Drosophila melanogaster: one gene and its partner. The protein of the gene in region 1 interacts with the protein of each later gene in a pairwise test. Each region holds a gene or a part of one and is shown in the gene's direction. Other genes may lie near its edges.

Region 1 (6,940 bases):
TTGCACTCAGAAAAAATGTTGATATTACGCAACGTGCAACTACACCTACATCTTTTCATAGAGTGCACGCAGTTTTAAGCATTTTGGTTTTTAGTTATATTCTTTATAGCTGAAGTGCTACTTTTTATTAGTGTAGTAGTATCATCGTGTTTTGTTCAGTGTATCAATTCGTGTTGTTGTTGGCGCTTTTGACGAACTGAACGCGTTGCTTGGGAGGTGTTACTCTATGGAGTGTGCACACACTCACACACACACACGCAATAAACCCCAGCAAAACACACTCTCCGAAACGGCCACTCGATGTGGAGTATGTGTGTGTGTGTGTGGTGTGTTTGTATCTGTGTGTGAGTGCGAGTGCAGTGTGCATTGCATTGCCAGACCGTCCGGCGCGCATAACGTCATCGCCACTTGGAATAGGGTCAGTGGCGTCTTCTGCGAAGGGGATTTCTTATAAAAAGGCACACAAAACAGGCTGCGCAGACGTAACATTTTCCCAAGAAAGTATGCAGTACTTTATAAAATGTGAGCAACGTAATACTATGACCATAAGATCCCATTTATTAGATGCAACAAGCTTTGGAAAATATTTCTAGCCCCCTTTTTTTGTGCCACGCCCCTGTTCGGCCATTCGAGTACGAATATTATCGCCCACGATTTTTGGTTTTTGTTGCTGCTCTACTGTTTGTTTTCGATACCCAGGCACACAGACGCACACACAAACACGCATTGAAGTACACAGGAGGGGGTACTTGAGTTCTATGGCTCGAAAAGTTCTATGGTCCGTCCGTGAAAGAAAGAAATATTCAAACAAATTTCATCAACTAACAATCGAACGTTAAGTTTCATTTGCTATGTAAATGTAAATCGATCGGTGATAAGTCGGATGTAGCTACTATTTGGAAAAGCTTATATACATTAGTATGTATATAAATTCTGAAGAAAACAGGTTAAGTATTTTTGGGTTACCATCCTCTGGGCGAATAAAATTATCCTTAAAAGTGTCCTTTGATATAATTGAATAATATAGAGTTAGTACTTTTAAATTGGCCACCTGCTGCAGTCATTAAAAATTGGTTCGAAAATATTTAATCTCATGGAACAGCAAATTTAACTCAAATGAAACCGAATCCTGCCTATGGCATTTGCGCTGATACAAAAGATGGATTATCCCGCGAATTCCTTGGATCTTTTGTCGACCCTTTCGGCCTGTCAGATGGCATATTCCTCAGGTGCCCGGCTGTCTGCAGATTTTATGTGAGTTTTTGGGGGATAAATCAAGTGAGGGGCGGCGGTGCAAGGGGGGGGGGGTCAGTTTGGAGATCTCCAGTCAAACTGTACTAAAGATAGAGCCGAACACGTTCCCAGTGCTGCCACACAGATACACACCAATACCAATGTAAGAAACAAAAAAAAAAAAAAAAACTACAAAAAAAAAATACAGGAAACGCGGACGCCAATGGAGAAAAAAAAACAGGGGCAGGGGCAGGGGCAGTGGACAGTGGACGGGGGATAAGTGCATATGTGGCCCCTGAAACTTAACACTTCTTTGGCTCCGGCTGCGAATATTAAAATACCCACTTAAGGCCAACAATAACAGCGGCAAGAAGCAGAGAAAATGTGAAAAGGAGGAGCTAGAATTGAACTCAAGTACTTTCGTCTCGCACTGAAAGAAAAAAATACATTTATGTATGAATATGAAAAAAAAAACTATCTTAATATCATAGTGCTATTTTATTTACATGAAATCTATAAACTAAAATAGCGACTCACTAAGCGTGAAAAATCGAAATAGATCTAAATAATATTATAGCCAGCATTTCTCGCAGTGCACAAACATGATCTGGCATTGGCGCCCGTGCGTCTGAATATGGAAATCGAAATGGGTCCGAGTATGGGTGCGTTGTATATGGAATGGGATGGGATGTGGATAGGAGGACACTTGAGTTTTAGGCCGGGCTTATCTGCATTCTAGGCGAAGGGAGGGGAAGCGAAAGGAAAGGAAACCACTCGACGGCGCACTTGAGAAGCGGGAGAAGCAAGCGGCAGTCTGCTGCATGGATATTAACTAATTGTCGGCCACAAAAATGCATGGGAAGGCGATCGCAACACGCCATTTAACACATTTGCACGCTTCCAAAGTGTTTCCTTTTCGAATTTGCTTTGTATATAGTGGTTTACTCTGGCGAGTGACGGGGGTATATGCATTTTATTTTTTAGTTTGGGTTTTCAATTTAAGCTTAAGATGTGAAAATCTATACTTATACTTGTCTATACTCATTATTTCCGATTAAGCTTTCTGCAAACGTTCGCTTACTTTCGGTTATACAATAAATAATGTTAAAAATCTGAATAGCCTTTTTTCTAGATGTAAAATGTAGAATATTTTGAATATTGCGCCAACAGTGTGACCCCTGCTAGAACGCAGAAATGTTTTTTTGCGAGTATGTGGCAACGTTGGTCGTAAGTTTTTCCCCATGCGCGAACGGTCTCACCGATTTCCTGTAATGCATCATCGATAATCTATCGATTGCTGAGTAGTGCAAAAAAAGTGGGCAAAAAAGGTGCAATGTTTAGCGTTTAAGTGCGTTAAGTTGCTTTTGCGGACGACAACAACAACACCAGCAGCATTGCCGGTCAAATTGATCTAATTGATTTTCGGGCAGTGCCAACAGCAACTAAAACCAAATTAATAAATGAATCCCTGCGCATACATAAACATATAAAAACACACACACACACACATACATTCGCATAAAGGACGCGAACCGAAAAGGGAAAAACAAACACAAAGGAAAAAAAAAGGAAAAAGGAGAGCGCAGCTTTTTCAGAAATTGGGTCATTTGTTGTTGTTGTTGTTGTTGTTGCTGCTGTTGCTGGTGATTTTCAAACGAATTTCATTTGTTGCTGTCGTCGTCGGTTCGGTGTTGTTGTTGTTGTTGCTGTTGTTGCAATGGTCGTGGACGTTGTTGTCGCTGACAGCTAAATGTTATGGCAACACTTGCAACCTGAATTCGTGTGGGTAAGTAGTGTTTGCATTTATGTTGAATTTATTTTAACTTATATACCTTATACTTAACTTATTTTTGTGCTTTTCGCCAAATAACTATTCATATTTGGCAAAAATTAATAGTGAGGAGCGGAAAGCGAAAGGATAATAGGGTAGCGGAGACGAAGCCTTATATTTCCACCAGAAAATCCTGGCACAATTTATGACAACTCTACACTTGTGTGTGTTTGTGTTGGTGAGTAACTTAACAACTATGACTTCTTTTTTTTTTTTTTGCTATGTTAAAAAAAAAATGTGATATTTCATTATTCAGTTTAGTTTGAAGTAATAGAAATTCAAAAGTATTTGTGCTATATTTTATTATTTACTCCCTAATAACCAATGCCTATTCCTTTCTATTCGCAGAGTGAGACAGCGGAGTAGCTTCTTCAAATCAAAGGATACCACTGCAGCAGCCATCCAGCCAGGAGCCTTAAAAAAGCTGTTCAGCTTGAGAAATCCGAAACGCAGACTATAGACAAATAATACCACCAGATTCATTCCGTGCACAATGAGCGTGGTGGGTAAGCAACTAAATCCGGTGCAATCCTCCGGTGCAGGCGCAGTGACAACGTCTTCCTCCGCGGCCGCAGGATCCTCTTCTTCGAACAGTGGAGTGGAGGCCAACGGCGGCAGTGGAGGATCGTCGGGAGCTGCAGCAGCGGGCGCTGGTGCCTCCGGTGATGCCAAACGGCCTGCGGAGTCTTCCAGCGTGACTCCCGACGAGGTGCTCCATCTGACCAAGATCACGGACGACTATCTCTGCTCCGCCAATGCAAATGTGTTCGAGATTGATTTCACGCGGTTCAAGATTCGCGACCTGGAGAGCGGCGCTGTGCTCTTCGAGATCGCCAAACCGCCGAGTGAACAATATCCGGAAGGACTGTCCTCGGATGAAACCATGCTGGCGGCTGCCGAGAAATTGTCACTGGATGACACTGCCGATCCAAATGCCGGACGCTATGTGCGCTATCAGTTCACACCGGCATTTCTCAACCTCAAAACAGTGGGAGCCACGTAGGTTATACAGTATTTGCATTTGTTTTAAATGCCTCTCAATTTGTAAGTTTCCCTTATTTGCAGTGTGGAATTCACTGTGGGCAGCCAGCCGCTTAATAATTTTCGTATGATCGAACGCCACTTCTTCCGCGATCGCCTGCTAAAGACGTTTGACTTTGAGTTCGGCTTTTGCTTTCCATTTTCGAAGAATACGGTTGAGCACATCTACGAGTTTCCTAACCTTCCACCCGACCTAGGTGAGCAATTTTTACATAATCCCAGCCAGCATGACACGCAATTGAAAGTTGCTGCCAAAAGTTGAAGGGGTTTGTGGGTCAAGGTCGTTTACGATTTGCGCCTGTGAGATGAGGCTTCTATTGGTCAGATTGCGAGCAGCTATCATGGTTTTTATTTTTTGTTATCGGTTTGTAGGATGTGGACTTATTAATGAAATGCAATTCACATAAATATGTTCGTTCGTTTTCCATTTTTTTTTAGTTGCTGAGATGATATCGAGCCCCTTTGAGACGCGCTCGGACAGCTTTTACTTTGTGGGAAACCGACTCGTCATGCACAACAAAGCCGACTACGCCTACGATGGCGGCAATATAGTCTAGAAACTCAACTATAATGGAACTGCAACTAGAGCAAAACTAATAACTAAAGAACTAGAAACTACAGAAGCTGTGAGACAAAATCAATGACTTGTCACACACACACACACACGAAACACCCACTCAATGTCAACAATCACACTCACAAACACATCGAATCGAATCGAGGAATATTATCACAGCCATTTTAGCCTTAGCACACCAAAGTTTTACCCACCATTCCTGTTTGATGTATTTAGCATCAAGATATGATCTCCTGCAAACGGAAACTAACACACAAACACAACAACAACACACTGAAGCACGCGGATTGTGTTCATTTATCAATGATTTCCACTTTGACTATATAATTTTAAGTGCTATGTGATTTCCCTTGATTTATATATGTATTTGTACACACTTATTTAATCCTAATAAGTAAGGACACTCCACACACACACCCAACAAGAAACAACAAATACATATATATAAAATACGTACGTATACACACACGCACACACAGAACTTATGAGAAGCGAATTGGAAATTTTCAAAAAAAAAAAATTGAGGAAAATCCATTTGCCGTCAATTTTTGTATGCAGCATACGAAATCATACGAAATCTATCAGCTTCTTCATGGCATTTTTTTCGTGTCTGTGTATGTATATTTTTTAAACAAAAACCAAATGGAAAAAGACGAACGTAACTGGAAATCCAAAAAAAAAAAAACACTAACGATTACACGCCGAACAAGAATGATAAATTAAATTACATTTTAAATGTACATACACCACTATAAATTGAAACTTTTCTAAGGGGGTTAAATCGAGGGCATTTCGTGCACTAAAGGTGCTTAAGAAATTTATTATATTCTGAAAAATCATCAAGTTCAGAACGCTTATATCAAAAAAAAAAATATATATATTGCTATCCCGCTCTTTTCGGTGAAGATTCTTGAAGATCTGCGTAGATCGTTGAAGAATGTCTTCTCGAGTTCTGAAGTGAAATTAATTTGAATTCCCGTTCCCAAGAAAAACAAAGCGTTCACTTTCCAATTTAGCTAAAGTCGATCTACGCGATTGACTTCTTTGTACATTTGGTTAAAATATCAAAATTTGGTCTACTCAGTTCTATTCAGGAACTCGCTGACTATTGTTAGAAACTCCTGCGGCTTTTCAAAGTGCACTAAATGTCCGGCATCCAGCCAGTGGATCTCAGAATTGGGAAACATTTTCTGTATCTGTGGCCATTGCTCGCGTCTAATAAAGATGGCAAAAAGATTCAATTAGTTTAGTTTACTTAGCACCTCGGGATCCAAGTTACCTCATGTAAGGTGATCGCGTGCCGCAAATGAACGTAGTGGGTCCCGTGTACGGCGGCAGTTCCTCCAAATTACTCTGATATTTGTCGAAGCGGGTGAGGAATTCACGAAGAACATGGGCATTGCAGGCCCAAGAGAAACTATAGGAAGATTATCTCATTTTAAAGCGGTTCCCAAAAAAGGCCAAATACATATGTGGCAAACTTACGCGCCGGTGTCAGGATTTTTTCGGAGATTCAGCATGATAAAGTCAACGGTCTCGTCTTCGGTGGCTTTCAGTAGTTTTTCCCGTGCAATTTTCCTGCCCTCAGACATGGACATGCTTGGCGAAAGGTCCAGGGAGACCATCGCGTCGAAAATTTCCGTCATCTCGCCCGTGGAACGGGGCACGCTAATTGGCGATATGTCCACCACTATCAAACGTTCCACCAACTCGGGCTATGATAATGGAAAAATGATTGTTTAACATTTAACTCAGTTTGTGCATAAGGCGCAACACTTACATATTTTCGAGCGAAGTACATCATGGACCTGCCGCCCATGCTGTGACCCATGCAGGCGGCATTCGGATGACTGCGCTGCTCCATAAACAAACGCAAATCCTCGCTCATCGCTTTGGAATTGTGGACACTCGAATGTGGACTCTCGCCATGATTCCTCACATCGATGGCGTACACCTGTAGGTTAAAATAAATACACATTGGCTTGAGCATTGATACTTTGGCTAAACGCATAAATTGGTAAGCTCACCTTTCGGGAAACTTTTCGCACCAGAGCCTTGCTAATTCCTCGCCAATTTTGCTTGGAACCAAAGAGTCCATGATATGTGAGCAGTGGTGGACTCGTCTCTGGATTCTCGCCGGTGTACGAATCGAAGCTTAGTTCAACGGGATCCGGTATTTCCGAGGAGTACTCCCTTCTGACCACCAATTGGGTTCGCAGGATCTTTCCCGCGGGAAATGGAAGTGAACGTAACGATTT
Region 2 (4,355 bases), on another chromosome or scaffold:
TTACTTCTCCAATTTGTGCGAGATAAACAGAGCCACGTATTTAATTCCAAGAATTTTAGACCGAAATGCCGCAGCTGATTAGGGTTGTCAACTCAATTTAGGGATGACACTTCTCCGCAAAACAGTGACTCATTCACAGTCACCGCAGATATCGATTAATGGTCTATCGCAGTAAGAATTCTATGATTTTGAATTAAAATAAAATATATAACAAAAGGCAATTTAAAATGGTTATAAACTTTCTTATGCTTGCGAATATTAAGTAGATATAGGTTAAGTATGTAGTTTTAAATAATAAATCAAAAACTACGATATGATATAGGACTCATGGTACAAGACTTTATAAAACACATTTTCTGATTGATTTTTTTATGTTAACATAAGTTACTCTATATATTTTAGTCAATTCTAACCTATAAATACTATTAAAAACTGACCTTAGTCACAAATATCTCTGCTTAAGGATCGAAACACGCATGCGCGCTCTTTGAAATTCAAAAACAACAAGTTCTGAGAATATACGTAGTCCTCTCCCATTCAGATACACACCATTGGAATTTTTCATCGCCTCTGCGCTGGGCGGAATAACAATTTGTTTATAGTCAATTAAAATGTGCTTGTGAATCGTAAAAAAAAAACTACATAAAATACAAAATGAAGTTTTTAAACTTAATAGTGGTCGTATTAGCTTTAATCTGCAACGAAGTTCAGGGTCTAAAGTTGCAGGCAAATGTTGGAGAACTCTTCACCTACAAAATCGAACCGCAACTCTTTAACTGGACACACCAGGTGATCAGCCAGCAATTTCGCTACAGACCCTCGCTGAAGAATTATCCCGATTTGCCCAGTTGGATGCGATATATGTATAGCCATGAATACCATGCCGGCTTCCTCTACGGAACTCCTCCAGCATCGTCGGCTGGCAAGGATCTAAGTCTGGATGTGGTCGCCCTTAATCGCCAGAATTACGAAACGCGACGCGTTGTGGTCACAATGTTTGTCGCCCACAAGTTTCCCACACCCAATGTCGTGCAGATGAAAATAAACAATCTGAATTGGGTGCACCTAATGGATCCCGGCAGAAGGGAGAACCTACGAAATATATTCCGCAACGATCTTTGGCCAAATAGCAAGGAGGACTTGAGTGTGGTCTTCATGGAGTCAGCTGTGAATATGGGCGGACGACTTCCACTGCGACCGCAGCAGCGCGAGGGGTAATCTAGTTATAATTTAGTTATCCATAACAATCTCTTATCTTATTATATTCATTTCATATTTCATTGCAGAGTCATTGTCCACGTGGGCAGCTTTGCCCAGTTCTCACCGCGGCTGCAGGAACTCCAGGAGGAAGTGAGACCACTGTACAAGTTGCCATCTTGCACCTACAAACGCACATCCGTGCAGAAAATCTTTGAGAATGTTGGCTTCAAACTGGACTGGTGCGCCTTTCGAATGGTGGGCATGGAATCACCAACGGAAATCCTCTTCCACAGTGGCAAGCAGAACGAGCAGCAGATGCCCGATGATCTGAATCAGAGGCAAGAGGATCGCTGGATGGGAATCGCCAGGGAGGATGTGCCCGAACGCAATTACATCGATGAATTCGCCTTTGCCTTTGCCATTCCGGGCATGATTTTTGCCATTTTAATCGGAATGCTATCAGCTGTTTTGTGTTTCCAGCACGAGAAGTTGTGAGTTTCCCAACTGGGAAATTACGAAATTGATTTCTTCATTTTATATTTTCTTTAATTGTTTTTATCTTTCGTTTACTTCAGTTACGATCCGCATTCTGAGTTTTTCTTTGCCAACATTTTCCACATCTGCGAAGAGTCCTGTGCGCCGCAAAGCGCGTCAAGCGATTCTGGTGCGGATGATGGTTCTGAGAGGTGATTTCACTTCTTATTTTCCTATTTGCTCATTGAAAGCAGTGATTGTATATGATTGGTATCGCTTACAGCTCTTCCAATTCGGATTATCCCATGGCATCCACTGTGCAGATGGTTCAGTGTTCGGATAGCAAATCCAATCAGCCCATAACAACATTGAAAAGCCTCAAGGATCCCAATTTTCTACTGGACAACACTAGCATGAGATCTCAGAGGTGGAGCTGTCTAGCTATTCATATTCAGAACTCTCATATTCAAATATCTATTTATCTATTGTAGTCCCAACAACAGCTTTTACCAGTTGGACTGCGGAAACTCCAGCATTTATGCTCGTCCCAAGCCACCGCCATATAAGGGCGGTACTTTGGGTCGAAATGGAGTGGACATTTGACAAACATCTCCCCGAGTGCTCTACTGCTGAGGAGTGTTGGATTCGAGCGCATACAATTTCAATAAGCAATATCGAGGAGGAGCGTTATATCAATTGCATAAATACTCACACCTGCCGAACTAGACAAACCATATCGTAATTATCATTTTATATAGATATGCAAGCATGAAACTAGCCAATTAGTTTGCCATTTAAGAATAAAGGCAATCAAATAAAGCATAATATTTTAGAAGTCTTTCGTTTTAACTATTTTATGACCTACTCATCTCTGCTAAAGTCGAATTCAAACACTTTTCTTTTATAAAAAGGAAGTACTAAATTCTTTACGCGCCTAATTTTAAATTCAATTGAAACCAGTTTTTATGCATAAAATCGATATTTCAGTTTGAGCCAACGTATCGATGTATCGGTTGTAAAATCGTTCTTATTTCCAGCTCTAGAATGAATGTTCCGCAAGTTTTCGTTTTTCGGAGAAAGTTTTTACAGTTTTTGCGGGCTGCATAGTGCCGAATCATTTCGCAATGGCGCCACCCGAAAATGGGATCCTTGAGGTCCTCGAAAATCTACTTGACCGGTACAAAATCAACCTGCTGCAAATGATGTTCGGCACCTTCATCGCCACGATCGTGTTCTTTGGCGGACTGATGACTTTCGTGGAGAAGTACCTGCCCAATAGCATACGCCAGTCCTTTCGGTATGGCAAGCACAGTTTCAAGGGTGAAACGGATCCTTTGGTGGCCTGGCTGGAGGTTCCGAAGTCCTGGTTCAAGCACTTCTACACATTTGCCCTGTTCTGGAGCTGGCTGGCATTTTATGTGCTCGTTTCAACCGTTCGGGAGCAAAAGGAGGCGCCCGAATATGTACTCCAATTCCTGGACATCATGGGCGGCGGACGTAGTCACCGGAAGGTGGAGATCGACTCAACGACTGCCTGTGTGGGCGCATTTATGCTCACGTTGCAGTGCACCCGGCGTTTTTACGAGACCAATTTTGTGCAAATCTTCTCCAAGAAGAGCAAAATCAATCTGTCGCACTATGCCGTGGGCTATGTGCACTACTTTGGAGCCGTTATAGCTTTACTATCCAATACCTCCGGCTTTGTGCGCGGCTCCAAGCCCATGGAGTTCAGCCTCGACAAGCTGACAAGCCAGCAAATACTCTACCTCGGCGTCTTCTTTCTCGCCTGGCAGCAGCAGTATGCCAGTAACATGATATTAGTTAACCTGCGGAAGGATCCGCGGACGGGAAGTGTCAAAACGGAAAAGCACCTTCTGCCCAAGGGTGGGCTTTTCAATCTGCTTTCGTCGCCGCACATGTTCCTCGAGGTGGTCATGTACTTCTGCATCGCCGATCTCTACATGCCAGTTAGGATTTGGCGATTGATCTTCCTCTGGGTGGCCAGCAATCAAACGATCAATGCTCTGCTAACCCACAAGTGGTACCAGGAAACATTCAGGGAATATCCAAAGAACCGACGTGCTATCATTCCGTTCCTGCTCTGAGTCCGAAGACTGGAAACATTTCGCATTTTTGTACAAATAATTTAGTAGTGGAATTTATTAAAGTCGTTTTACACGCACGAAAAATGTGTGCTCGCTGGTGATTTTAACTACAAAAACGATATAGGGTGAACTTGAACTGGAACAGGACTGCAGTCGATTCTATTTGAACAAGAAACTGTGGGGAAAAGAGAAGCCAACTTAAATATGTGATAAATTGCTTGCAGGATAGTAATGACTGACCTATAGGGATAACCCTGCGCCTTCGAACGAAAAACGGACAACAGGAAGGAGAAGAACACGGTGAGGAGCACCAAACCAGTCATCGCCATTATCCTGTTCTTGTTGTGAGCCTTTGGTGTTCCCGATTCAATCAGCAGAATCATGCCCAGCACAATCATGGCATCTGTAATCAAAGTTATTAGTTAAATAGTCCAAAAATGGTCAACAGAACTAGAGTGAAGACTAAAGACTCAGGACTTACTCAGGAACATGACGATATAGGTCTCCACCACCAGCTGGCCCTGCGAGGAGCCATGGATGTAGGCCACGCCACCATTTTGCGACTTGTGGACCAGC

What was found. The genes of interacting proteins can lie anywhere in the genome.
Region 2: the proteins of unc-119 (region 1) and CG7840 interact in a two-hybrid assay, tested with the Drosophila melanogaster proteins (one large-scale study listed by BioGRID).

Annotation. Positions count from the first base shown.
Region 1 is NC_004354.4:7,286,868-7,293,807, reverse strand, and holds unc-119 (unc-119), read left to right. Parts: upstream 1-2,509; 5' UTR 2,510-3,015; exon of another isoform or gene 3,016-3,019; intron 3,020-3,130; 5' UTR 3,131-3,242; intron 3,243-3,412; 5' UTR 3,413-3,557; coding exon 3,558-4,063; intron 4,064-4,129; coding exon 4,130-4,302; intron 4,303-4,543; coding exon 4,544-4,662; 3' UTR 4,663-5,441; downstream 5,442-6,940. Other genes in the region: CG2059 (uncharacterized protein), read right to left, coding at 5,759-5,897, 5,962-6,099, 6,168-6,397, 6,463-6,636, 6,710-6,940. UniProt on the Drosophila melanogaster protein: Myristoyl-binding protein that acts as a cargo adapter: specifically binds the myristoyl moiety of a subset of N-terminally myristoylated proteins and is required for their localization.
Region 2 is NT_033779.5:8,302,887-8,307,241, forward strand, and holds CG7840 (uncharacterized protein), read left to right. Parts: upstream 1-2,699; 5' UTR 2,700-2,798; coding exon 2,799-3,779; 3' UTR 3,780-3,855; downstream 3,856-4,355. Other genes in the region: Scgalpha (sarcoglycan alpha), read left to right, coding at 655-1,214, 1,287-1,691, 1,776-1,886, 1,958-2,101, 2,166-2,277; Ostgamma (oligosaccharide transferase gamma subunit), read right to left, coding at 3,939-3,954, 4,020-4,182, 4,261-4,355. UniProt on the Drosophila melanogaster protein: Plays a key role in early steps of protein N-linked glycosylation by being involved in the conversion of polyprenol into dolichol. Acts as a polyprenal reductase that mediates the reduction of polyprenal into dolichal in a NADP-dependent mechanism.